3 linked regions of the Tamandua tetradactyla genome follow. The protein of the gene in region 1 binds, or shares a complex with, the protein of each later gene. Links are inferred from orthologs where the notes say so. Each region holds a gene or a part of one and is shown on either strand. Other genes may lie near its edges. The genes, in order: NEDD4L, YWHAH and AMOT.

Region 1 (8,162 bases):
TGTAACTGTGATATTAAGACTTGCTTTACCTCTAGAAATGCTCCAGAATAGGTCTTCTGAACAGTGCAGATTCCCACAGAGCAGTATTGCCATTCAGTCCATTTAAGATTGGCCCTGACTTTTTTCTTTCAATCATAATAATATTTTATGTGCTCAGACTTGGATTATTCTACACATCTGTTTTGTATTAGGTTCAGAGCTAATGAAAAATGGCACTGATATTTTATTTTTATTTATTTAATTTTATTACATTTTTTATGCTTTTTTTCTCTTTGGCACTGATATTTTAATACTTGGTGAACTCCTACGTACAGTCTCTACAAGATGTATTTTAAATTACTCTGTGAAAGACCGAAAAGCTAATGGGGGAGATAGATGTCTTTGGACCTTAGTTAACTCTCAAATGTAGCTTTCCATTCGTAAAACCCCAAATTATTTACACACCTTTTTGTTTGACACTGCACTCACATTTATTTAAATTTTAGTACATCTGAATTTTTTTTCAGCTAATCTTGGGTATTAAAAAAAAGGTTTTGTTTTATTCATTCCTCAAATGTTTCTTGAGGACCTCTGTTGTCCTCCGGCCGGTGGAGGCACTCACCGGCCAGCAGCACCACCTTCACAGGGTTATAAGTGGATGCGGGACAGCCTGTCCACCTGCTTGCCCTGTCACTAGGTTAAGGCAGCCTCGGGGACCCAAGCACACGCAGGCTGTGACTCAGATGTGCTGCATTGCGTTTCCCCAGGAAGCAGCTGAAACCTGGTAACGGAACACCTGGGCGGCGTCTCCAGCACTGCCCTTCACAGCCTTAGTAACTTAGGAAAGAACTATCTCAGTTCTTTTTTTTTAAAATAAACATGTATGTATATAACATGAGATTTATTATGGGAATTGGCTCCCATGACAATAGGAATCAGCAAGTCCACATTCCATAGGATGGGCCCCAAATTGGGAACTCCAGGTAGGTTTCAGTGAATTCCCCAGGAGAGGCTGACTGGCTGGGGTAGAGAGAGACATTCTTTCTCCTCTCTTGGTTCTTCCTCTCTCGCACAGGAGAGACCATGCTTACTCCATCGGTGTTTCCAGGATTTCCGTGGGATGGTGTAAATGAGAATACCTGGCACCATGCCTCATCTGTGGTTGGTGCTTGGTCAGTTATACTGGGGTCCAAATGGTGATAAGGGTCACTTGGCTGAGGCTTTGGTAAGGCAAAGGGAGAAACAAAAAGCCATGGGAAGCCCAGTAGCGACGATGGTGGCCCTGTGTTACTGAAAGTGGGAATATCTTTTTTCCCTTTGTTTCTTTGTCTGGGCTCTCTCTGAAAACAAGCAGGTGAGACTTGGTTCAGCTCCTGGTTTGTCTGCCTGCAGGCAGTGGGATCTGCTTCCCTCTCATGGGCCCAGGACCATGTGATAGTTACACATCCTGGGATTGTGAGGATTAGATGAGATAAAGTACCTTTGATATGTCACAAGGCAGTAGTGCCTAAGAAGCACACAATAAGCTACTGCTACTATTTTTTTTTTCATTATTTTTATTGTCATCACTATAATTATTGTTCTTAGGCCTTAGAGATTTCTGTGTAGACTTTTGTGAGGGAGTGGCCTTGGTCCACAGGTGTGGGGATGCCTTTTGCACAGGAATTTTAGGAACTCTTTAAAGCTCTTCGGGATTACCCCTTCTTAGGTTGGTTAGAAGAACAACCTGGAGCCTTTTCTTCTGATGTGCCTAAATATTAGGGGCAGAAAAGTATAGACAGGAACAATGGAAAATTTGATTTAGTAGACATGGGATTCCAGAAGAGTATTCCCATTACACAATTGAACTGAAGCATTTTCAAATATCATTCTATTACTATCCCTTATTTCATCTTTGGAATGATTTTTATTCATCTTTGAAATACTGTTTATGTCCCTCATAGGTAAATCCATCTAATCACAGACTCCTGTTTGAAGTATTTGACGAAAACAGATTGGTAAGTGACTTACTGCTTTTGTATTTTGCTTAAGTTTTTAAAAGCTGAATTTTGAGCGTTACATCTTTGAGACTGTATTTATGTTGCACTTACGAAAGTATATATGCCCAAACAGAAGATTATTTTTGCCCCACCTTTGTTTAAAGTTCATAATTCCAACAAATATTTTCTTATTGCTAGGGTAGAAAGTTTATGTGTTTTTATCACAGTAAGTATTAATGAAAGTCTTCAGTGCTGGCATCAGGCCATTTTTTGTGCTGAAATGTGGGGACACCAGAAGAGTACAGGGATCTGAAAAGAGGCCATCTGTACCTGTAAGCAAACCATTCAGGGTTTTAAAATTCAGGCCAAAATGTAACACTGTAACCTATTCAAGAGGTTCTAAGGTGGGTCTCTTTGGAGAAACAAAAATCCAATTAACAGTGTAGAGCAAAAAAGTGAATCTGTATTTAGCAGAAAAATTTAAACTGTATTTTAAAACATGGTACTGTCTCAAGGGAGACTCTTAGAAAGTATTTTTAAAGAACCAAAGATATTTCTGAAGCATATAACCAATATACATTAACATTTTGGAATAGAAATTTTAGAAAGCAAATTTGGCTTAAGGTAAGATTTTAAGGAAAGTTTTGTTTTCTTTAACTACAATATACACATCAGATTCCCATGAGCCAAGTGTTTTGATGGTAAAACTGAGCATTGTCCTGAGAGTATTTTTTACTCTCAGAAGTGGTGTTATAACGCAGGTCCATCAGTATACCTTCCCTGAAACTTATGTGTCTTATCTGGTTAGGGGAATGTTCGTATAAGCCTTCCTTTTGGCAGAATTTAACTGAAACACCAGATTTTTGAGTGGCTTTATTTTAATGAAATATTTGGTCTGGAGCAGTGTTATAAAACAACTTGCTCGACTCCCTGTCGTTGCAGGTGAGACAGCTGAGGTCTGGAGCTTTACACCATTTAAACTGGGCGGTCAGTGAAACTAGTAGTGGTCGCACTGAGGCTGAGCCTGCTGGTTGCCCATTTCTCAGCCCAGGGGTGGTGAAGAGCCAGGCCTTTCACCTTCGTTAGGGTGTGTTTGATCTTCTTTCTGCACGTGATAATATTCTCCAAAGTAGACACATTCCGACCTGCCATTCTGATATCTTTCCTTTAAAAATATGTGTGGATTCCTTGGTGGATTTGCATTGAATTCAATACTTAGTACCTTGGGTGATATTTAATAGTACTGAGGAACTAAATCACTTCCCATTCTTGTTAAATTGAGTAGGAGAGTGTGCTGGGCCTCTTTCTTAGACCTCCGACTGTCCAAGTCAGTGAAGACTTTGAGTCAGTGCTCAGGGGAACAAAAATAAGTCACAGGAGATGTAGATTCACCCAAAGACTAATCCTTACTCTCAGGTTTATTCGGTACAGTAACACTTCTTCAAGGTGAAGAAAGAGTCAAATTTCAGGAAAAATTGCTTCTTTTCAGATGTTTTAATCCATTATTCAGATTTCTTCTATAAAAAAATTATTTCCCATTTCTATTATCTAAAATAATGTGGTTGGTGAGCTGACCTTGTCATGAGTTCTAAACTATACTTCCAAACCAAAAAGGGCTTTGAGTACAAATCTTTAAGAAATCCTGTGTAAGCACAAGCTTTATCTGAAAATTTGTATTTTACAATATTTAACACCTAACTCTTCCCTAAGCCGTCTACAGTGCTGTTACTATGCAATGAGTGCTGGTGGGGGGTGTGTGTGTGTCTTTGTTGGCTGTTAATCCATTTAAGACAATACGTGACTGTCCTGATACTTGGCAGTTTCAACATTAAACAAACTGGCTTCCATTTCTCTCCTAAAGGTCATTTTTGGCATTTAAAACACATATCTTTAGCAATCAGGTTTGGACGTGTGTAAATATGGGGTTAATCATCCACACCCTTGCCTCCAGAACTGTTGACAAAGTCATGCTTTGCAGATTTTAAAATAAACGTTTTGTCACTCGTTGCAGCTTGGTATTCTGCCCCTCCTAAATAAACCTCTTTGTTAAATAACCCACTTACTGGATTACGGAAAACAGTAAGTTTGAAACACATAGAGCATTTCCAAGTTAACTACAAAGTCTGTGACAGTTTTTTGAATGTCCACTTTTACTTTTAGTTCTTATGTCCCTTTTAGCCCTTTGCAAACATAGCAAAATTCTGTATTAGTATTGCAACTCTGGTAATATTGCTAATTCTAACTCTTCTGGAAGGCATTCGGCTCCAGGCATCATTTCTTCTATATGGTATTTAACTTAAATTAAAACAAAAGCTGCATGCACACTTCTCTTTAGTCTCCCCCCCCCCCCCCCTTTTTATTTTTGGTTTTCTCTCTCTCAATTGGGAGGCAGTGTTTTCTCCAGCTGGGTTTCCTTTTCTCTGGTGCTGCCGTGCTGACCATCTTATAGGTAAGATAAGCACACATATCTTTTAAATGAAAAATGTTAGTGTAGAAGCAGAGGGGGCCATGCCAACTGCCAGTGCTGGAAGTCATGCCCCTCCTCCTGTAGATGGGTCATGGTCTAATTATTTAGTGTTAAAGGGACACTAATTCAGTGGGTGTGTAATCTTATTTATAGTATGTTTTGTTTTATGTTCCATCATATTAACATGATGATATTATAAATAACAGAGAAATTTAACATCCAATATTTGTGCGTTTTCTTGCTTCGCCTGATTTTTTTTCATGTTTTTTTTACAGGGAGGTTTGGTGGGAGATGGTGGGGGTGGAGTGGGGACGACCACATATGAGCTTGTGTGTTTAATGCCAGGTCCCTCGCATTCGCTGGAGAAAGTCTGAGTGCTCTGCTTAGTTGAAAAGAAACGTCCTGTGAATGTGATGTGGTTCAGATTTATAGCCTCGTGGCTCAGACTGTGTTTGCTGCCTTAGTCAGCTGCGAGAGCTCCCTGCTGGGGCCACTCCTTTCTGATGGAAAAGCAGCAGCTGGGAAGGTGCTGTTTCAGGCTCTTGTTTAAAAAAAATCATAGCGAGAAGGGGGAAAACTCCACTAAGTCCACAAGCTGGCATTGGAGGGCGAGAAGGCCGTCATGTGGTTGCAGCCACCCTACCCTCTGTCACAGCGCCGATGAGAGCTTTTTGCTCTTATCCAATCCTGCCTGGAATGCCGCTGGCCACTTGGGTTATTTCTGCTATCTGCCGCTATTGGTTCTGCGGTGCTAACAGTTTGGCAGATGGGACACTTTTTCTTGGAGTTGATGTCTCTGGTTTTTGACGTCTGGCAGTGCTGGGGTTGTGGCTGCTGCTCTCCCTCTCCCTCCCTGCCCCCCGTTCACCATGGCCCATCGGCTTCGGTTTCATTTTGGCTCTGGTCGGAGCAACACAGCCCCCGAATCAGAGATCCTAGACCAGGAGAGAGACGATGACTTCTTCATGGCATTCCACACTCTACCACGGAGAAGCAGCCCCCACCCGTTCTCCCAAAATGGAGGGGAGTGTGGTGGTGGCCTGGGAGAAGGAGTGGGATCGCTCAAGCGGAGTACGTCCATGTTTATCCCTCAGCTGCCGAATAGTATCGATGCACGTCCAACCAGGAGCTCGTCCGTCCAGATCTCCCTGCAGCGCAAAGCTGTGAACGGACACACCGACGACTGCGTGCCGCCGGACTCACTTGAGGGCGGGCTTCTGTGCACACTTTCGGACTTCAGGGAGGATTTTACCACCCCAGTGAGAAGATCGTCTCAAAGCAGCTCCCAGGAAACCTCAGAGAGAGAGACCCCGGAGAGTTCTCCTCCAAGGATATCCAGGGACTCTGAACAACAGGTCAATGGAACTGGTCCTTGTGGCCACCGAGTGCTCTGTGCAGTTCCTGCAGAGCTCCAAGAGGATGCCATGCCCTCAGCCACCCCAGGGGTGGAAGGCAGTGGAGCTCCTGCAGGGCTGAACCTTGGTGGGGTCAGGATCCAGCACCGTGCTTCCAGTGCAGACACGCGCCAGGTGAGGCTGATGCCGTTGGGGTCCGAAGGACAGAGCAGCCCCTCTGTACCTGAGCCGAGGCGCTGGTCCCTGCAGCACGTTCCAGATGTTTCTGGTAGTCCTGGGAAGCGGTGCTTTGTGTTCCAGTTGCAGCAGTCCCAGCAGGGTGGTCTGGGTCTGGGTGGTGACTGCAACTTTGGTTTCACTGGCACGAAGGGCAATCGGTTGGTGAGGTACCCTCGTATTCGGCTGGAGAGGAGCACGTCATACCCCACCCAGCCCCGAACTGAACGAGTGAGCCCCACAGATGACCAGGGGCGTTCCGAGATGTCTCGCGGCAGCAGGATGACTCCAGAAATCCACAGGACGAATTCCATAGAGAGGACTCCACAGGGTCAAGGGTGTATGTTTAAGATCAGGCAAGATCAAAATGCAGGGCAACAGCATTTCAGAATTCTTGTAACTCGGGGGCCAGAAGAAACTCTCCAGAATCCTGAGGAGGATAATGCCAAAAGTCCTGGCTTGACAGTAGCAAGCGCCACGGTAAGTGAGCTGTGTTTACATGGGAGAGTAGGTCAGCAGGGGCTGATTCATACCCAGAAAGCTTATTCCGCAGTGTAATTAAAATAAACTTCGTCCTCAGCTTGGGGAGTTCCCCACCTTGGTCCACTGTAGCTTAATGGCTGGCTGCATTCCGTGACGATGATTTGTGCTCCATTGGTTGGTAGAGATCCATGAAACCAGTGAGCATTTCAGAAAATCTTGTTTGTGTACGCCTTCAAAGTCAAGAGCTCTGTTTTGAAAATTCAAACAAAACACCCTTTTTTTTTTTTCCTTCCGGATAAAAAAATTTTAAGAATTTATTACTTTGAATTCATCTGCCAAAACGCAAGCCAGTGCCTCAACATGTTCATGTTGGAAACACATTTTAAAAGTTGCTTGCCAAGATAGCCTAGGACAACATGTCCTTTACAAATAGTTCTAATAAAGGTAGTGGATATAGCACAATACTTGGGTTTAGTCTCCTAATTAAAATAGTGTGCTCAAAGTTTGGGTCTTCCTAAAGGACTTTTTGTTTTGCAGGGGCAGGGTGGGGGTAGTGGTGTTAGTTTTTCTTATGTAATTCATTTTCTTTGTTTCTGGTCCCATGAAGTAATGCTAAACAAGGGTAGTCGCACTTGTTGGACAGTGAGAAGTGTGTTTTTGAAGTAGGTGGACTTATGAACCCAGGAAAAGGCGAACGGTGATAGGGCCCCGTTAATGACCTGGTTGCATGCCTGTGGAACTTAACTCTGCCCACTTGAGTCTCTAAGCCAGGGATGCTGTATATAGATTAGTAAGTGCCCTGTCTCCAGCTGTGGAAACAGACTCCCTAGACAGATTTTGGACTTTCCTACTTGTGTGTTCTTATTCTCTTCCTTTCAGTGAAATGGAGTACCGAAAGATAGCTGCTGACTCCAGGCATGTGATGACTTTGCACTTGTGTAGTTTATAGTGAGATGGAAAGTTTAAATCAGGTTTCTTTTACTAGGAGTCACTAGCCATTGAGTGCTTTCTTAAAGAACAAGCTCTTTGTATATTGAATTGAATCTTTACCCCTGAATGTCATGTGATTATCAGTCTGAAGATATGATTATGAAATATCTAGGGGACTTTCTTTTCTGCTTGGATTTCTCTTGTGAATTGCCAGTTTTCAAAGTGGGTGGCTGTTATTCTAGAATTGTATCATCTTTCACTGCTTTGTGTTCAGAAATGTTTTTTTGCCATTCGAGTGAACTTTATCACAGCTCCATCATTGCTTTCAACTGTTTCACATTATAATCAGGTGCTAAATGTAAATATTATATTTTTCTTGGTTTACACAATTGTTTTTCCTTTTTTTCTTTTTCCTTCCATAAGCCTCTTTCTTTTATTATATCTAACCCTTTGTTAGGAAATGGCTGAGTGCTTTGCCTTGGTTTGAACCAATATCTTTTATTATGCAATGGTGCAAATTTCAGTAGCATTTTCATTCTGTGGTAGTCTTTAACCCCTGCCCCAATAAAGTATCATCATGACAACTGTAGGTTTCATTGGGCAGAATAATCCCAGGCTGAACTTTGAGAACATACCACATAAAGATGGATAAAATGCATTTCTTTAAAAGCTTATAACATTCAACTAAATGACCAAAAACTTAAATCATTTTGTTATTCAGTTACTGAGGACAGATGGATTTATTTAAAGCCT
Region 2 (7,356 bases), on another chromosome or scaffold:
TAAAGCGCAAACCCCTTTCGCCCTTGTAGTCACTGGGATTCCATAGGTGACAGCTTTGCCTTCTTCTCCAGAGCCAAGCTCCTGTGAACACGTTTGAAGAGGGCGGGTGCTGCAAAGGGGGGGCCCCCAAGCTCCACCGGCTTGCAGATGGCAGCTACCAGGACATTTTCTCACTTCTTAATGCCAAGAGCTGCCTTGGGAGTCAATCTGCTCCCAGATCGGGCTTTGAAAGAATAGTGAAAGGCTTTGGATAGATCCAGAAATCTGTGTGCTCAGGCTCATCTTGGATACGGGGGTGGAATTTGGTATCAGCAAAAGGACACTAGGGCCAAAGCGAATGAACAGAAAGCGAGTGTGAGCTGGGGAGACCATGGGTGGCTGCCTGGACCACAGAGCAAGTCTGATTCCTCTAGTTCTTAATTTCCTCATCCATATAATAGTTGCTGCTCATGCCATTATTATCGTTGGCTCAGGATTAGAAAGTTCACTTTGGTGCGTTTGGGGAAAAAAAAAATTAAAATCCTATCTGGGTACCCGACTCCCTGGGCGATGGCATCCAGGCCAAGGGTATGAACACCTGCCTCTCCACAACAACACAAGGTCTTCTTTGTAATATGTTCCTTGGTATCCAGACTTCTGAGGGAACTCAGAGTGTCCCAGAGTACCCGAGGGTGTAAAAAAAAAAACCCACAAAAAAAACAGGACGTGCCTTTTCTGGGTCACCTATTCACAGGTCTCCGGCTGAGGGTTCTGGCAATGCTTCAGAAAACAAGTCCTACATGAGAAGCATCTTTATCACTGACTCAGGAGCAAGGGATTATTATACGGCAGTGATGGCGGGTGCTTTCATGTGCTGGCATTATGCCACCGATCCCACAATAACCCCAAGAGATAAGTGTGGTTAGCGCGAGTATGCAAGAGAGAAAACAGACTCAGAGAGGGCTGGTAACTGGTGGGGTAGGATTTGAATCCAAGTCCAGAACTAGCTTCTTTCTACCCTCCTCCCCCCTCACACACATACTTTCTTAGCCAGCCGGGGGATAGCGGAGGCATTGCTCTGTTCCCGGAAAAAGCCCCTGTCCCAGGCAAAGCTCCAGCCTGGCCCCTACCCTGGGCCTGCTTCGGGCCCTGGAACAACATGGTGTTGGATATTGTCAGCCCCCTTCACTTCACTCATGGACTGTCTTTGGAGCTGGTCAAATGCTTGTTTATTGATCAGGCTTGGAGCCCTGGCAGTAGGTGCTCCATCCAGGGCACACCCCACTGGTCTTTGATTTATAAGGCTTTGGGGGAGCTGGCAGCTCTCTTCCCTGAGGGGGAAGATGCTGGTAAGATGCAGGCTACAAGAAGGAGGCTTATGTGTGCTTTTCATAATCCAAATGACTCCAAAAGGGGAGTCATACCTTGAGCCCTTTTTGGCTAACACCAAAAGGCAGTGTGGGGCCATCAGGCTTAGGAGTCTGATGGACTTGAATTTGAATCCTGGCTCTGTTGATTACCAGCTGGGCGACTTTCTTCAAGTCAGGGAACATCTCTGAGCCAGTTTCCTCATCTGTAAAATGGGGGTGGAAATTGCCTTTTACTTCAAGGGTATCTTGAAGTAAAAAAAATATGCCCATCTCTGCAAAACCCCTTACCTGATGCTAGGAACATGGTAAATCTTCCTTTCCTTTCAAGAGTGGGGTTGGACAAGGTCACCCAGAATGGGCAGAATGGAAAGAGGAGAGGGCCTGGGACGAAGCCTTGAGGAACCCCTGCATTTCACGGTGGGCCTAGAAGACAAACTCACACAGGAAACAGAAAAGGAGTGGCCAGAACAGTTGAGGAGAAACCAGGAGAGTGCAGGGTCATGAAAGCTAAGAGGTGAGTGTTCGAAGGAGGGGTGAGCCGTTGTGGGTCAGGAAAGTGAAGACTCCAAAGCATCCTTGGATTTGGCAACAAGGAGGCCATTGGTGGTCTCAGCGAGGGTCATCTGGGTGGAGAGGGGGTAGAAGCCAGAGTACAGTGGGCTGAGGGCTGGGTGGGAGGTGAAGAAGTGAAGACAGAGAAGTTTGGTGAGAAGGAAAGAAAGGCTTTCTGGAAGAACCAAAGTGTAATTTAGGAATGTCAAAATCAACTGTTTAGACTGTTTCAGCTCTACCTATTTCTCATTGTTTTGAAATCACTCTCAGTCCAGCATGATCTGGAAAACAATAGCCTCTAAAGGCTGGAAGGAACCAGAGTTTCACCATACCGTCCTCATCCTGCCCTGGCCCTGCCTCTCAGAGCGCCTTCTCTGCTAGATGGGGTGGAAGATTAATTACGAGCTATCATACTCTTTAAAGATATTCACGAGGGGAAAGAACAGCCTGGTTTGCTAACCTGGATTCCATTTCTAGTCAGCAAAGGTGACTCTTCAAAACACGGGTGAAGCGTGGGGAGTGGCTCTTCCCCAGACCCATACTTAATCCTGCGTTATGGGTGCCAAGCCTCCTTTTAGCACCAGAGGAGGAGGGCTGGGTGGCTGGAGACCTGTGTGGAGGCTCCAGATCTGCTCACTCACAGCACAAACTGGAGCCAGCCTCTCCTTCTGAGACTCAGTTTCTCTTTATGCAGGATAAGGAGTTGGACAGCAGTGACCGTGACATTTCAGAATGAGGATTTCTATGTTTCAGTCCTTTAACAGTCCTTCAAGTCCAATTTTTCAGATGCTAAAACCGAGTTCCAGAAACGGTTCAGTCTTCAGTCCCTCCCTTTCCCTTCTAATGCATGTTACTTTCTGAAGCCAGATTCCTGGCCAGAAACATGACTTCTGTTACCTCTGTAGCTCCGAAGAATCAAGTCTCAAATCTTCAATCTGGCATTTAAAACACTCTATAATCTCACCCTACCCAACCTCATTCCCAATGGCAAGCGTCTCTTTTCACTATCTCTTTTGTCTTTATCCTCTCTGCCAAGTCAAGTCTTTGTCCATACTGTACGCCCCCCCGCCCCAATACCTCTTCCCTCCCTCTCAAGGCCCAGATTACCTATTCTCGCATATTTAGATCTGTGCTGCTTAGCGGCAGGGGTATATATTACTCATTCCTGTAGCTACCCTATCCTCTCAGTGCTAAATATGCAGCAGGTGCTCAACAGAACTTTCAGAAAGCCTAAGGCCTCTTCTTCCGCGCTGCCCTTGCCATATATATTGTACGTGGCCGGCATGCTTTGGTCAGCGAGGTTTTCCCGGCTTGCCTGGAAGCCGCACCGAATGCCATGACTGAAAGGAGCTCAGTGACTGGCCGACCCCTTCCTTGCCTGAGCTTGCACCCTTATCCTGGCCCTATCACTGGACGGCTGTGCAACCTTCAGCAAGTCACTAACTTCACGTTGCCTCAGGCTCCACAACTGAAAAATGGGGAGACCAGCCGCGTCCACAGACAAGGGTGGGTGGTGCGTATTAAATACAATAACGCCTGTAGACGTCCCAGCACTAGGCCAGTTCCCTGCAAGGGCGTCGTGACTGTGAGGCCGGACGCCACCTCTCAGGGTGGGAGCTCAGCTCTGCAGCCCAGGATTGCGCGTGTGTGGTGGTGGCGGTTGTGGTAGTGTGGTAAGGGGGTTCCCAAGGGCGGGGCTCGATACCGCCAGGGTGTGGCCCGTGCAACCCAGGGGCCGGGAGGGACTCCACGCTGCTGCGGCTACGGGGGCGGGGGCGAATCCGCCCCACCCCTCCGGGCGTACGCCCTCCCGGCTTCTCCACGCAGGAGGTTTATTTGCGTTTTGGACCCTCCTCAGGCCAGGCCGCTAACGTGCATTCAGGCGCGCTTTGCAGGATGAGTTTGTGGCAACGCGCCGCCTAGGCAGCCGCCATCACCACACCCAGCCCTCCGGCTCCGCAGTCTCCAACCGGTTCACCCAGCTCCCACCTCCACCTCTGCGGCGGTAAAATGCAGCACTCGCAGGGCGCCTGCGCGGCTCTCGGGCGGGGCCGCGGTGGCGGCTATTTATAGTAGGTGACGTCACCTTGAAATAGACCGTTAGGGCCAGCTCGCCCTTCCCCCCTCCCACTCTCGCCGCTCCCCGCCGCCCGGCCCAGCAGCTCCCACTGCGCAGGCGCCCTCCCATCCTCCCCTCCCCCTCGGCACGCCCGCCTCTCCTCCCTCCGCGGTGTTCGCGACGCGAAGCCACTGCGCGCGGGACTAGCCAGCGAGCGGGCGCGGGCGGCGGCGCGGTCTCAGCCTCCCTCGGCGGCCGGGAGCCAGTGCGCGTGCGCGGCGGCGGCCTCCGCGGCGAACCGAGAGTGGGCGAGCGGTGCGGGACGCGAGGCGAGACCGAGCCGTAGCGACATGGGGGACCGGGAGCAGCTGCTGCAGCGGGCGCGGCTGGCCGAGCAGGCGGAGCGCTACGACGACATGGCCTCCGCCATGAAGGCGGTGAGACGCCGGGGGACCCGCGCGGCCGGCCTGGGGGTCCAAATCGGGGAAGGGATGGGGCAGCCGGCCGGTCGGGGTGTCCCGCTATGCCCCGGGGTGCCCCCTGCGACCCTGCAGGGCGGAGCCGCCCCCAGCAGCCGGTGCTTCCCGCGCGCGCCGGGCGCCCCGCCATTTCCTGCGGCCGGACCCCAGTCGTGTCTCAGGCGGGGGAGCTGCTGGGGGTCGCGAATGCAGCCCCAGGGGCGGGCGCGCGGGCGGCGGAGCCCTCCTGCGGGCGAGTGGGCGGGGGTCGCCGCATCCCGGCTCAGTGGGTGGGGGAGGGGGAACCGGAGGAAATAGGCGGGAGCCACATTCCCCCTTTCTGACCCCTTTCACCGGGACCTGGGGGCTACATGCCGCCTCGCCGCCCTCCGCCCTTCACCTGGGAATAAAGAGTTGCCGAGTGGGTGACGCCCCTCCTCCCCTATTTTTCTCTGTCACGACCTGGAGTCTGTGGTCTTCTTCTCTCCTTTGCTCCGCTCGCCCGAATTGTGCTCGTCCCACCTTCCCACAACCCGGCCCTGGCTTTGTGTGCCGAGACCCTCTTCTCGCAGGGACGCGAGCGGGAGGGCGGCGGGTGGGGTCTAGCCTGGGCTCATACTCCCTAGCCCCGGGTTGATGCTGCCCCTGTCGGACTCGAGATTAAAATGAGACGTGACTTCTGGGCGAGACGAACCTGTGTACCTTTGCTTTCCTGAGACCCTCGCACATGAACTCTGCAACTTGATTTCCGGTGGAGCCGTAGTGCCCAGCCACACCCTAACAGATTCCGTGGATTGGACACCACCTGCGCTGCTGTGCGTCGAGTTCCGCTTCTCCTCTCACTGTCCCTGCCCTCTTCACGTTATTTTATGTTTTCTCTAAATGAACCCTAGTTCTCTCTGCCTCAAGGTCACACAGTGGTGGAGCCGCGGCAGCTGCCACCAACCTGCTCTGTTCATTCAGCCTACAACCTTCCCGAGACCTCGCAGCAGCCCCCTGGGCCCCACCTTCGACCTGAAGACTCCGGGGTGGGACTCAGATGTCTGCATTTTAACCTGTTCTCCTGACAATTTTTAGGGGGCTTAAGTGAGGTTCATCGCCTTGGATCAAAGCTCATTTGTCCTTTGCTGGCCATCTGAAGGGATCTCTCAAAGAAAAACAACAAATCCAGAGGGTCCCTACAATTTCAGTGTCTTTCCAAAAGCTCATTTTAAAGCATTTGATATTATTATGATCTAAAATAGATTCTGGAAACCAGTTTTAGGATTATCCAGGTAAGAAGAATACTTGAAGAGTTCTCTTTCCTGTAGTGGTGGTGCTGGTTACTAATTTAATTAGATTTGTTTGGAAACCAAGACCAACAACCAAATTGTTGATTCATTGGTGATCCTGACCTGAGCAGTGGCATGCTGTAGTGGGTTAGATAGGAGTTTTTCATCCAGAGGAGGGAAGAATGTAAGTTTGGGGCTTGACACTTATGTAATTCGGAGGGAGGGGATGCCTCTTGAAGAAGAAAAAAAATAATTTTGCCAATTTTACAGAAATTGGACTGGCTGTGAGAGCATGTTCCTTGGAAGGGACCAGGAAGCTTAATTATCTTTGGAATAAAACTGATTCTGACCTCATACCCATTCACATTTAAGTGAACCTCTTGGTAACTGAGTGATATTAGCATTATGCAGTCTGAGGCCTTTCTGTGGGATATTTTAGGAAGGCCCTTGCTCACTCCCTGAGTGTCCCTTAAGGGCTACAGTGTCAGGAGTCCTTTGGGGAGTAAAGATGTTGGAAAGAAAGTAGGGATGGGCCTTAAAGGAAGGTGAATTGAAATTCAGGAAAAATGCCCAGAGGGTACATTTTGAAGCTGTAGGAAACCTGAAGTACTGTGGTCTGGAAAGTGAGGAAAGGATGAAGAGGTGTTACCAGAATGAATTTCAGTTTGGGCAGTGAAAAATTGACTTTCTGGTCTTCATAAGCATGTTTGGAAAATGCTTTCTTGCTTCTAGCTGCTATGTCTGCAGATTTTCTCTGAGGCTTTTAAGGTAGTGTTTTGCAAGCGAATGGATCCTTTACTATGCTGGGTACCTATATTATCTGTGTCTGAAATGATTGAACAAGTTACATAGCTTTGAAAATTCAAGTCAAGCACTAATTGTGTCATTGCAGAATTGTTATAAGCCATTTCCTTAAGGTAATTCTTGTTTTAAAAACAACTTTTTGTTAATATGTCCCCACTATTAAAACTTTTTTTTTTGCCACCTATTTATTGGAATGGACTTGTCAGAGGTCTTATGTTTTACTTATTAATTTGGTGTTTGTAGATTGAATTCATCATGAATGTCATTGGGAACGCTTGTCCTCGTCTTATTAATATCATAGACCTTAATTAGAAGCTTTTGCTGAGTCTGAATTCAAGTCACCCTCTGGGTTTATGTGGGTCTCCTCAGGGTGGTGGAAGGGCATAAACAGACTGCTCTAGGGACCTGGAGCCGGGCACCTGAGTGAAGGGATGTTCTGGTGCCATCGCTCTGAACTTGAACCTTACGTCTCTTGGCCTCAGTTTCTCTGAAGTGTAGAAGTAGGAGTGTTGATGTTACCAGTCAGTTTTCAACCGTTAGTCTTCTGACTTATTCTATATCCTGTGTCATTTAAATGGTCACGTAATACTGCCTGTCTGTAATAATTGATGTTCTCTGTGCTACCAGTGTCACCTGAAGGATGGTGTCAGTAAGCTGTAAGAAAAACATCATGCATACTGGAAACAACAGTGTTGCCCCAAATCATTTGAAAACTTGCATTCCCTGCCACACCCCATAATTTGAAGTGCAAGGAATGTTTCTGAATTGAAGTAAAGGAAAATCTTCAAGCTCTCATACTTAGTAGCTTTGTTCTTTTAGGTATAGAGTGTTATAGTGGGAAGAAACTGGAAGATTCTAGAACC
Region 3 (7,727 bases), on another chromosome or scaffold:
ACAGGTCTTGGCCTTGGAGTACAGTTCTGGTGTTGTTTCCTGAATTTCCACATTGCTGGTTTCCACACATGGATCATGCTTCAAACTTCCTGTGTCTGGACCAAGTGTGTGTATGGTGTGTATGTATGTGTGTGTGTGTTTATGTATTGGGAAAGAATGGAAGAGGGGAGGAAAGGTATTCAAAAGAAAAGCATTTAGCTGCATTCTTACATTATATATGTGTCTCTGTTCTTTTCCTGTTCAAATGAAACTGCAATTTTCGGATCTGCTGGATTTTGCATTTGCAGAGCAGGTGTCATAAATAAACAGGCGACTTTTTCAATGTGTGTCTAACATATATGAACAGCATTTTCGTGGGGGCGGGGGGGGGTGTTATGTTAAGACATACATCCTGAGAATTTTCGCTAATGAATGTACTTGCCTTTGTTTTTTTTTTTTCTTTTTTTTTCAGATGCATCTAAATGATTTAGTTGTTCACCAGGCAATTAGAGAAAAATTGCTCATTCTACACTACACTCCCAGTAGGCTTGGTAGGTGGGGGAGAGTGTCAATCAGCTAAATCTTATGATTTTGCCTTAAAGAAGAACGTAGCCAGAGGTTGGGACTATAAGCTGTGTTCTCCTTCCTACTTTTCCTGTACATTGGGCAAAAATATTGCCAACAAAGTGCATATGTTGATTTTTATTGCACTTTAAAGACAAGTTGCTTTTTAAGGGGGAAAAAGCCAAATAGGGCACGTAGTTTCAGGTGGAGACTCTTGATTTATAGCTTAAAAGATCTTCCTTTTTTCCATATCAATATATGGAGATTTTAATGTGCAACACTTAGGAAACCCAGTATCTTTACACAGGTGCTTCAAAGTCAGTGGCTAATTCTCCTGGTATTCCCCAGCGGGTTTTTCCATATTTTATAGTCAGGATTTGAAGTCAGGGGATGCCTTGGGGATTAGTCAAATGTGTGTGGCATGGTTTGCTATATAAACTCACTCCCTGAAACTAGTTTTCTCTCCCTTCTCTCAACTTCCACAGCTTTTACTGTCAATACCATTCATTTAGCACTTAGCATACGCCTGTTAGTTATCTTTTCATGTATATATCCTTGAAGGCAGGAGCCAAGTCTCATACTTCTTTGTTTTTCCAGTCTTGTCCATAATAGCAGCTCAATCAATGTTTGTTGATGTTGGCCTCCCACCTCCGCCCCCCAACCCCCACTTTAAGCAGTGCAAGCAATGCATGGCTTTAAATTCAAACAGTTTAAACAAACTGAAGGGTTTTCAGGGTAAAAACAAAGAGAAAGTCCTGTGTGGCAAGACAGAAGGAACACCTAAGATGCTTGAAAGACCTGGGTAAATCAGAGGTACCAATAAACCTGCTTTTTGCCACAGGCTAAGAGGTGACTCATACATGGCCTGATTCCCCATTAAGCTCAGAGCTCTGCTAATTATATTCCATCAAAAAATTAAAAGTTGTAGAAGAACAGTAATGCCCATGGCAGGATTGGAGGAGGGGGTGTGGAAGTAGTTAGGTGTTTGAGGGGTTCCAACCTTATGAAGGCCCTGGTAGCTGTGGAGAAGACAGATTGGACAATCTTTTGAGGACAATGTCAAGACTCTTGCCAGGCATATTAAAACACAGCTGCCAGATCCATGCTACCAAGAATTTTTTTTCTGGCATCATCTGCAATGACAAAAGATGGGAAAGACCTAAATTACAACTCAACAGGGGGCTGATTAAAGTAATTTTGGTATATCTATGCAATGGATTACTGAACTAATCATGAAAAATAATTAGATAGAAGTAATTGTCCTAATATGAAAAGATATTTAAGATACATACTTGAGTAAAGAAGGGCAAGGTGTGTTCACATATGTACCCATGTTGCATGGATATGCAAATAATATATTTTGAAGATTACATACCGTTATAGAGTGTAAGGGGACTCTGGAACTGGAGTAATAAAGAGGCAACTTTTCACCGTACTTCTTTCAGTTTGTTTGATTTTAATTTTACCATGTACATATTTTACCTTCTGCATTTTAACAGCAATGTTAATTTTAACAAGTAGCATATTACAATTCTGATCAGTGGTAGTTCTCCAGCATATACGCACTCTTCATAGCTCTCCTGCCCATGCCTCCAAATAACAAGGCTGGAATAATATTCCCTTGATTCATAAAACCAGGTTTCTCCATGTCTTTAATGCACAAAAATTCATCTTCCCCATGAAAAATCACCTAAATAACCTCGCCTCATATGTAAATTGAAGCAATCATACCCATACTCTTATTTCTGAATCTTTTGGCAGCCCCTAGCAGAGTACTCTGTATACCGAGGCCACTCAATGCTTTTGATGATGTGCTACCTGCCCATAACTTTTCCCGCAACCAGAATTATATTGAGATTCTGTTCACAGTGAGATAATGCTTCCTTTAAACACACTTCCTATTGCATGGCCTTGATCTATGTCTCCTAAGAAGACTCCTATTAGCCAAACTTGAATTGGATGTAACTCTTTCATTTGCATGAGTTCATTATACTAGCTCTCCATTGTCAAAGCCTTTACTTTTAGACTTGCTTCCTACTTGTTACATTTTCTAGCAAATATAGATCTGTACAGAATGTGGTTTCCATGGTAAATGTTCTCTCATATTTGTTTTCTCAAGTTCGCTTCAGAGATACACAGCATGATTTCCTCTTTCAGTACGAGCACCACATTAGATTTAGGTCGTGGCGCCACTGCAGAACTGTTTAAAAAAGAAATCTCACCCACACTTGTTAGAAAAAGGGAAACTTATTATTCTAATTGCAGGGAGCCAACCCATACCCACCTCCAGAACTTTAGGAAGAGTCGTTTTTTAAAACAAAGCCACAAATCCTACATACCTTGGACATAAATGCTTTAAAAACATGAGCAGAATATTTGTTTTCCAAACACGTGAGACTCTGCCACATACCTTTGTGGAGTGCTTGGTAGTCTACAGATTTTTCACACTCATTTCATTTTATTTTCATACCAATACCATTAAGTTAATAGAGCATATTTTATAGACTTTATTTACAAGATGGGAAAATTAAGACTCAGAGAAGCTAAGCGCCTTAAGAAAAGTCGTACAACTAGCTAATAATCGCCGGAGACCGAAATGATTATTACGTTGGTTCCAAAACCCATATTCCTCTGTCACCCTTATGCTGTTCTTTTATGCTTTATTTTCCCAGCTGTAAAATGGGAGACTTTCAAGTGTCCCAGCCTGCTATTCTCAATTGCCCGTGTTTTTAAGCAATACCATCGTTTTTGCAGCCAGAAAATGTGAACATATTGATACTTCGCGTACTTTTTCCTCCTTCTCGCCTAATGAATTGAGGGAGGAAAGTTATCTATTCCGAGGAATGAACAGTGAGTGCCACAGAGGTGTACCCGAATCAGTCGACACACTGTCGCACTCTTACCAGACTGAGAAATCAAGCGTCTCATCTTTCTCTTCCCAGCAGTAGCTGGGGGAGATTAGCGAGCAAGACAATAGGTTCTTGTCTAGTTTTATTAATTTTGAGGATGGGTGGGGCAAAAGAATTCGATTGACGGCTCCAGTAACCAATAGGAGGCGTACCTTAGGCCAGGACTCCCCAACTGCAAACTGCAAAAGAATCGTCGGGTGGGATTTACTCTTCCGGGACGCTCCGCCCAGGCCAGCCTTCACAGCCCGCCCAAGAGGCGGAGGCTCCACGGCGCCCCACCTACCCCACCCCGGCTGCCTGCGCAGCTTGCCATGGAGAGCCAGGCAGAGACGCGAATGGGAGGAGGAAGGGGAAGGCTAAGAGAAACAGAGGAAGAAAGGAGGGTGTCTCATAGAGCTGTGACCTGGGTGGGGGACTGTGGTAATAGGAAGCAAGAGGGGAAGGAAATCGGAGGAGCGCTGCGCCTTCCTTTATTATTTTAAGCAGGCTCTGATAGAAGTCGCTTTTCAGCATTTCTATTTGTTTTTCTTCCTCCCGCTGTGGGGCGGGGAGCTGCACTGGCTCTCCCACGCGACTCTGCTCCGCTGTTACCGTAGATTACTGTAGTCTTTACAGAACCCCTTCCTTCCTCCCAGCCACTCCTTGTGTAGACTTTTGGGCTACCGGAACCGAGTCGTGCTATGTTAGTAAGAGGGCGAGAACGAGGGCACCGGCTTTTGCCGGAGGTTCTGGACACCGCCGTTCAATTGTTTCAAACTTCCCCGCCCCCTGCCCCGCCTCCCTTCTGCGCCCCCTCCCCCGCCCCGAGGTCCAGGCAGACTCCCGCCCTTCTTTCCCCGCCCTCTACTCCGCCTCCCTCCTAAGTCTACCCCCACCCTCCGCTCCTGGGCGGTCCTAGCCGCTTACTGCAAGAAGAAAAGCCACCCATTCGTCCCACTCCTCTACCTCCCATCCTTTGCCCGGGAGCTGCCTTCATAGCAGTCACGCCCCTTCCTTCCGAAGAGCTTTCTGGCTGCCCAAGCTGGTAGACCCCCTGAATTATTCCTCCATCCCCGCTCTCTTTCGTCTCCTCTTCTAGTTCTACCCCCACCCCCACTTCGAGTCTCTGTCGCCTCCGACCATCCGCTGCTCCACCCTCCGGCCCGGTATCCTGTCTGTCCATTGCCACCAAGGAACGCACGGACGGAGTGACGAGAAGGGGAGCAGCCAGGAGTTGGGGATTCCTCCCCCTGCCCATCCTTGGCCGTCGGCCAGGGCCAAAGCCATCTATCTGAGTGAGCTGAGAGCCGACACCTTGTCTTCGTTGCCTTCGGGGGTAGGAGACGTGTGGTTACTTTTCACGGGGAGCTGGGGCAGGAATTCATGGTGGCATGAACTTGGTCCTGCCCTCGGCGTGAGTAAGTCTGTCTAGATGCGTGTGGAGATGCCCGTTCGTTCTACTTTTCTTTGCAGTTGTCGGTGAGTTTTCCGGAATGTGCTACAAGTTAAATCACTTCAAGAGTGTGCGTTCCTTTTCGGGCCCTCCTTTGGTGAGGAGATGCTAGTGGGTACCACTACTTAATGGTAGTTTTAACCCCGTTGCCTCCTGGGGTCCTTGTAGGTCTCTAGGTAATTAATCATGCGAGAAACTAAAGACAGGAGATCTCCATTTAGCCCAGCACTATTGTCCGCACTTAAATCAATTGATGCAGGTTTCCTAAGTGCTTAGGGTAGGGTTTGGGGCTCTTACACTCCCCTCTTCCAGGGTGCCATAAATTTTGAAGTTTTAAAGTCTGGGAGTAATCTACCACGATACACTTTGGTGTACATGTGCATTTGCGTAGGGGGTGGGGTGTCAGAGGTTGCTACTTATCTAGTTTGTAAGGTCCAAAGATGTTAGTAACTAGTTTTGCGGGACCGTGCAGATATCTGTAGGGTCCCAAACCCGAGCCACTCTGCGTTGGTGCTTCAATAGTAATACGGATTTCGTCAATAGGTGAAAATAAAGAGTAGGAAAAGTGGGAGGGAAAGCGGCAGTCTTTGTAGATTGTGAGCAGTTCTTCGTAAATTATCACTAATGATATAATGATAATTTGCAGCAAGGGAGTAGATGCAATTAAATGTGTGAGGAAAGGGAAAGTTAGTGAGAAAAAGCATTTCCAATCTCTATTATATTATGAATCTAAAAAAATAATTTTCCAACAACCCAGGGGATTTCTTTCCCCTCCCACCCCACTTTCTCCAAGAAGGATGGAAGTTGGGGAGCAACTTTTATGAATTTAACCCTTTTCTAACATCAGAGAGGAAGATGATTAGTGACCATAATCTTCAATGGTGGAGAGCTAAGGGTATTTAAGTCTCCTTGAGCTAGGCTTTGTGAAAAGTTCTTTCTCATGCCAGTCTTTGTGAAACCTTCTCAGTTAGACCTCTCAGCACCCTCATTTAGTAACTAAGCATAGTTTGAAATACCATTTTAGACATGAGGTACAGCTCCCCCAATCTCCCATCTATTACCAGTTTGGCAAGGGTAGCAAACTTATAAGAATGGTTGTGTTCAAAGACCTATTATGAGCGATCCCTGATCCATTACTTATTTGGATACAAATTACTTACGCTTTTAAATAATTTCTTTGCTTGATTTTAATGGTGGGAAGGAAAGCAGGGAAGGAAAGAAGAAACATTACAAGGCAACAATTTTAAAGGATATCATGTTTCAGATCAGCTGGGAGGGAAGAGCTGGCTTGACCAAACTACATTTTATAACTGGCCTGGGACATTTTAATAGCCAGGTGGCTGTAGAGTAGTTGCATCTATTTACAGATGATAACTCAGATTCCAGCTATTCTGTATGGGTTTATCCGGTGTCATTTACAGACATTTTCTGGCAATGCATCAGGCTTCATTTTAAGATGCCTCTTTCTTTGGAGAAGTTCGTGGCTCTCTTTGGAAAAGTTTGTGGCTCTGTAAAATTGAAAATACTTTTCCTAACTTCATAGTTTAGATATGAAGTAAACTTCTGACCACAGTGTGTATGTAATAGCTTTCATGCAAAAATTGTGGGTCTGTTTACCTATTTAAAAGACTTGAGAAAAGCGAATTTTTTCTTCATATTAATGCTGATTTGGATTTGGAAACTAAAATCTCATTTCTGGTTTATAAAGTAGGGTATATTAGACTAATACATAATCAAAGAGTTTTGTGGAATTGCTTTTCTGGAGTTGAGTAAAGAATAAATCAGACTCCTTCTAGAATGCTTTGAGAAAAGTCTAATCAGAAGGCAGAGGGATGGAAGCTATGACCTTGAGGTCCCACTGAGTGCCAGAATTCTAAGTGGGTACATCTGCTTCTGGGGCTCTCACAAGAACCCTCTCCCAGGGCCTGTGCCTTCTTTAAAAGGGTGTCTTTGTAATTAAGCAACCCTTCTACCCCACCTCCCCCCCTTTCTTCCTTTGATCCAGCTTTATAAGCCTTTTTTTCCTATTTGGAGACAAGAGGAGTTTCTCACACTCTCCTGCTTCCCCTCTTGAGTTTTTTTCCTATCCCCCCCCCCCCCCGCACACACAAAATGTCCCCTGAAGTTCTCAGGATGATTGGAAGTTATTTTGTTTTGTTTTGGAAATGGGTGCCAATGAGGAAGAGTAAAGGATATATTCCTTCTTGGGAGAAGCTTGTGGCCAGGTAGCTTCCTCCATGGAGACTGAAGTTTTGGAATGTATGAGAACAGCCTATTCTTAGGGACTGTCTGGAAGAAATTGTCCTTTGCACCATTAAGCCTAGCTTAAACCCACTGAAAGGGGTAGAAAAAGGTGTATGTGATTGTGTCTGAGCCTTTTTGGATGGTAAATGGAAGAAAGTTCTCAAATCTATTATTATATCACCTCTTTTCCCCATGGACCCAGTGAATTTGGAGATCCGTTTGACAAGTTAATTAGCTTGGGACTAAATCAATTTGTTTAGAATTGTGCTCCATTGATGTTCTGTCTCTAAGCATTTTTGTTGGTAGTTTATTATGATGTGTTGTCTTCAGTCTTACTTCTTCATTCCTTGCTGTCTTTTGTGGACTTTGGTCCAAAATCTAAGGTCCCACCCCCAAGTCAAAGGTTAAAATTTGATCCCAGGAACTAAGGGAACATTAAACAGACTGGCTGTACTGCATTACTTTCTTCCATGGTGGGCTTCTGACCTCTTTTAACCTAGGAAAATCACCCTCTCCACACACTACACACACAGTCTGAATTAAAAAAGAGGAAAAAGAAAGAAAAAAATAGACGGTCATTTACTTTATAAAAAAATCCA

The links.
Region 2: the proteins of NEDD4L (region 1) and YWHAH are in contact, whole or in part, in a crystal structure (PDB 7NMZ), measured with the Homo sapiens proteins. The link is inferred for Tamandua tetradactyla from reciprocal best matches to the Homo sapiens genes NEDD4L and YWHAH. Residues at the interface, in NP_001138439.1 of Homo sapiens: Pro444, Arg445, Ser446, Leu447, Ser448, Ser449, Pro450, Thr451, Val452, Thr453, Leu454, Ser455; in NP_003396.1 of Homo sapiens: Arg12, Glu15, Asn39, Asn43, Leu44, Ser46, Val47, Lys50, Arg57, Lys125, Arg132, Tyr133, Gly174, Leu177, Asn178, Val181, Tyr184, Glu185, Leu221, Leu225, Asp228, Asn229, Leu232, Trp233.
Region 3: the proteins of NEDD4L (region 1) and AMOT are in contact, whole or in part, in a crystal structure (PDB 7LP3), measured with the Homo sapiens proteins. The link is inferred for Tamandua tetradactyla from reciprocal best matches to the Homo sapiens genes NEDD4L and AMOT. Residues at the interface, in NP_001138439.1 of Homo sapiens: Lys202, Asp204, Leu206, Arg208, Tyr210, Val212, Asn213, His214, Arg217, Thr218, Thr219, Gln220, Trp221; in NP_001106962.1 of Homo sapiens: His235, Arg236, Gly237, Pro238, Pro239, Pro240, Glu241, Tyr242, Pro243, Phe244, Met247.

Annotation. Positions count from the first base shown.
Region 1 is NC_135344.1:24,077,707-24,085,868, reverse strand, and holds the start of NEDD4L (E3 ubiquitin-protein ligase NEDD4-like), read left to right. Parts: upstream 1-4,714; 5' UTR 4,715-5,294; coding exon 5,295-6,476; intron 6,477-8,162. UniProt on the Homo sapiens protein: E3 ubiquitin-protein ligase that mediates the polyubiquitination of lysine and cysteine residues on target proteins and is thereby implicated in the regulation of various signaling pathways including autophagy, innate immunity or DNA repair.
Region 2 is NC_135331.1:30,699,959-30,707,314, reverse strand, and holds the start of YWHAH (14-3-3 protein eta), read left to right. Parts: upstream 1-4,189; 5' UTR 4,190-4,310; coding exon 4,311-4,397; intron 4,398-4,725; exon of another isoform or gene 4,726-7,356. UniProt on the Homo sapiens protein: Adapter protein implicated in the regulation of a large spectrum of both general and specialized signaling pathways. Binds to a large number of partners, usually by recognition of a phosphoserine or phosphothreonine motif.
Region 3 is NC_135353.1:56,980,423-56,988,149, forward strand, and holds the start of AMOT (angiomotin), read left to right. Parts: upstream 1-4,360; 5' UTR 4,361-4,910; intron 4,911-7,727.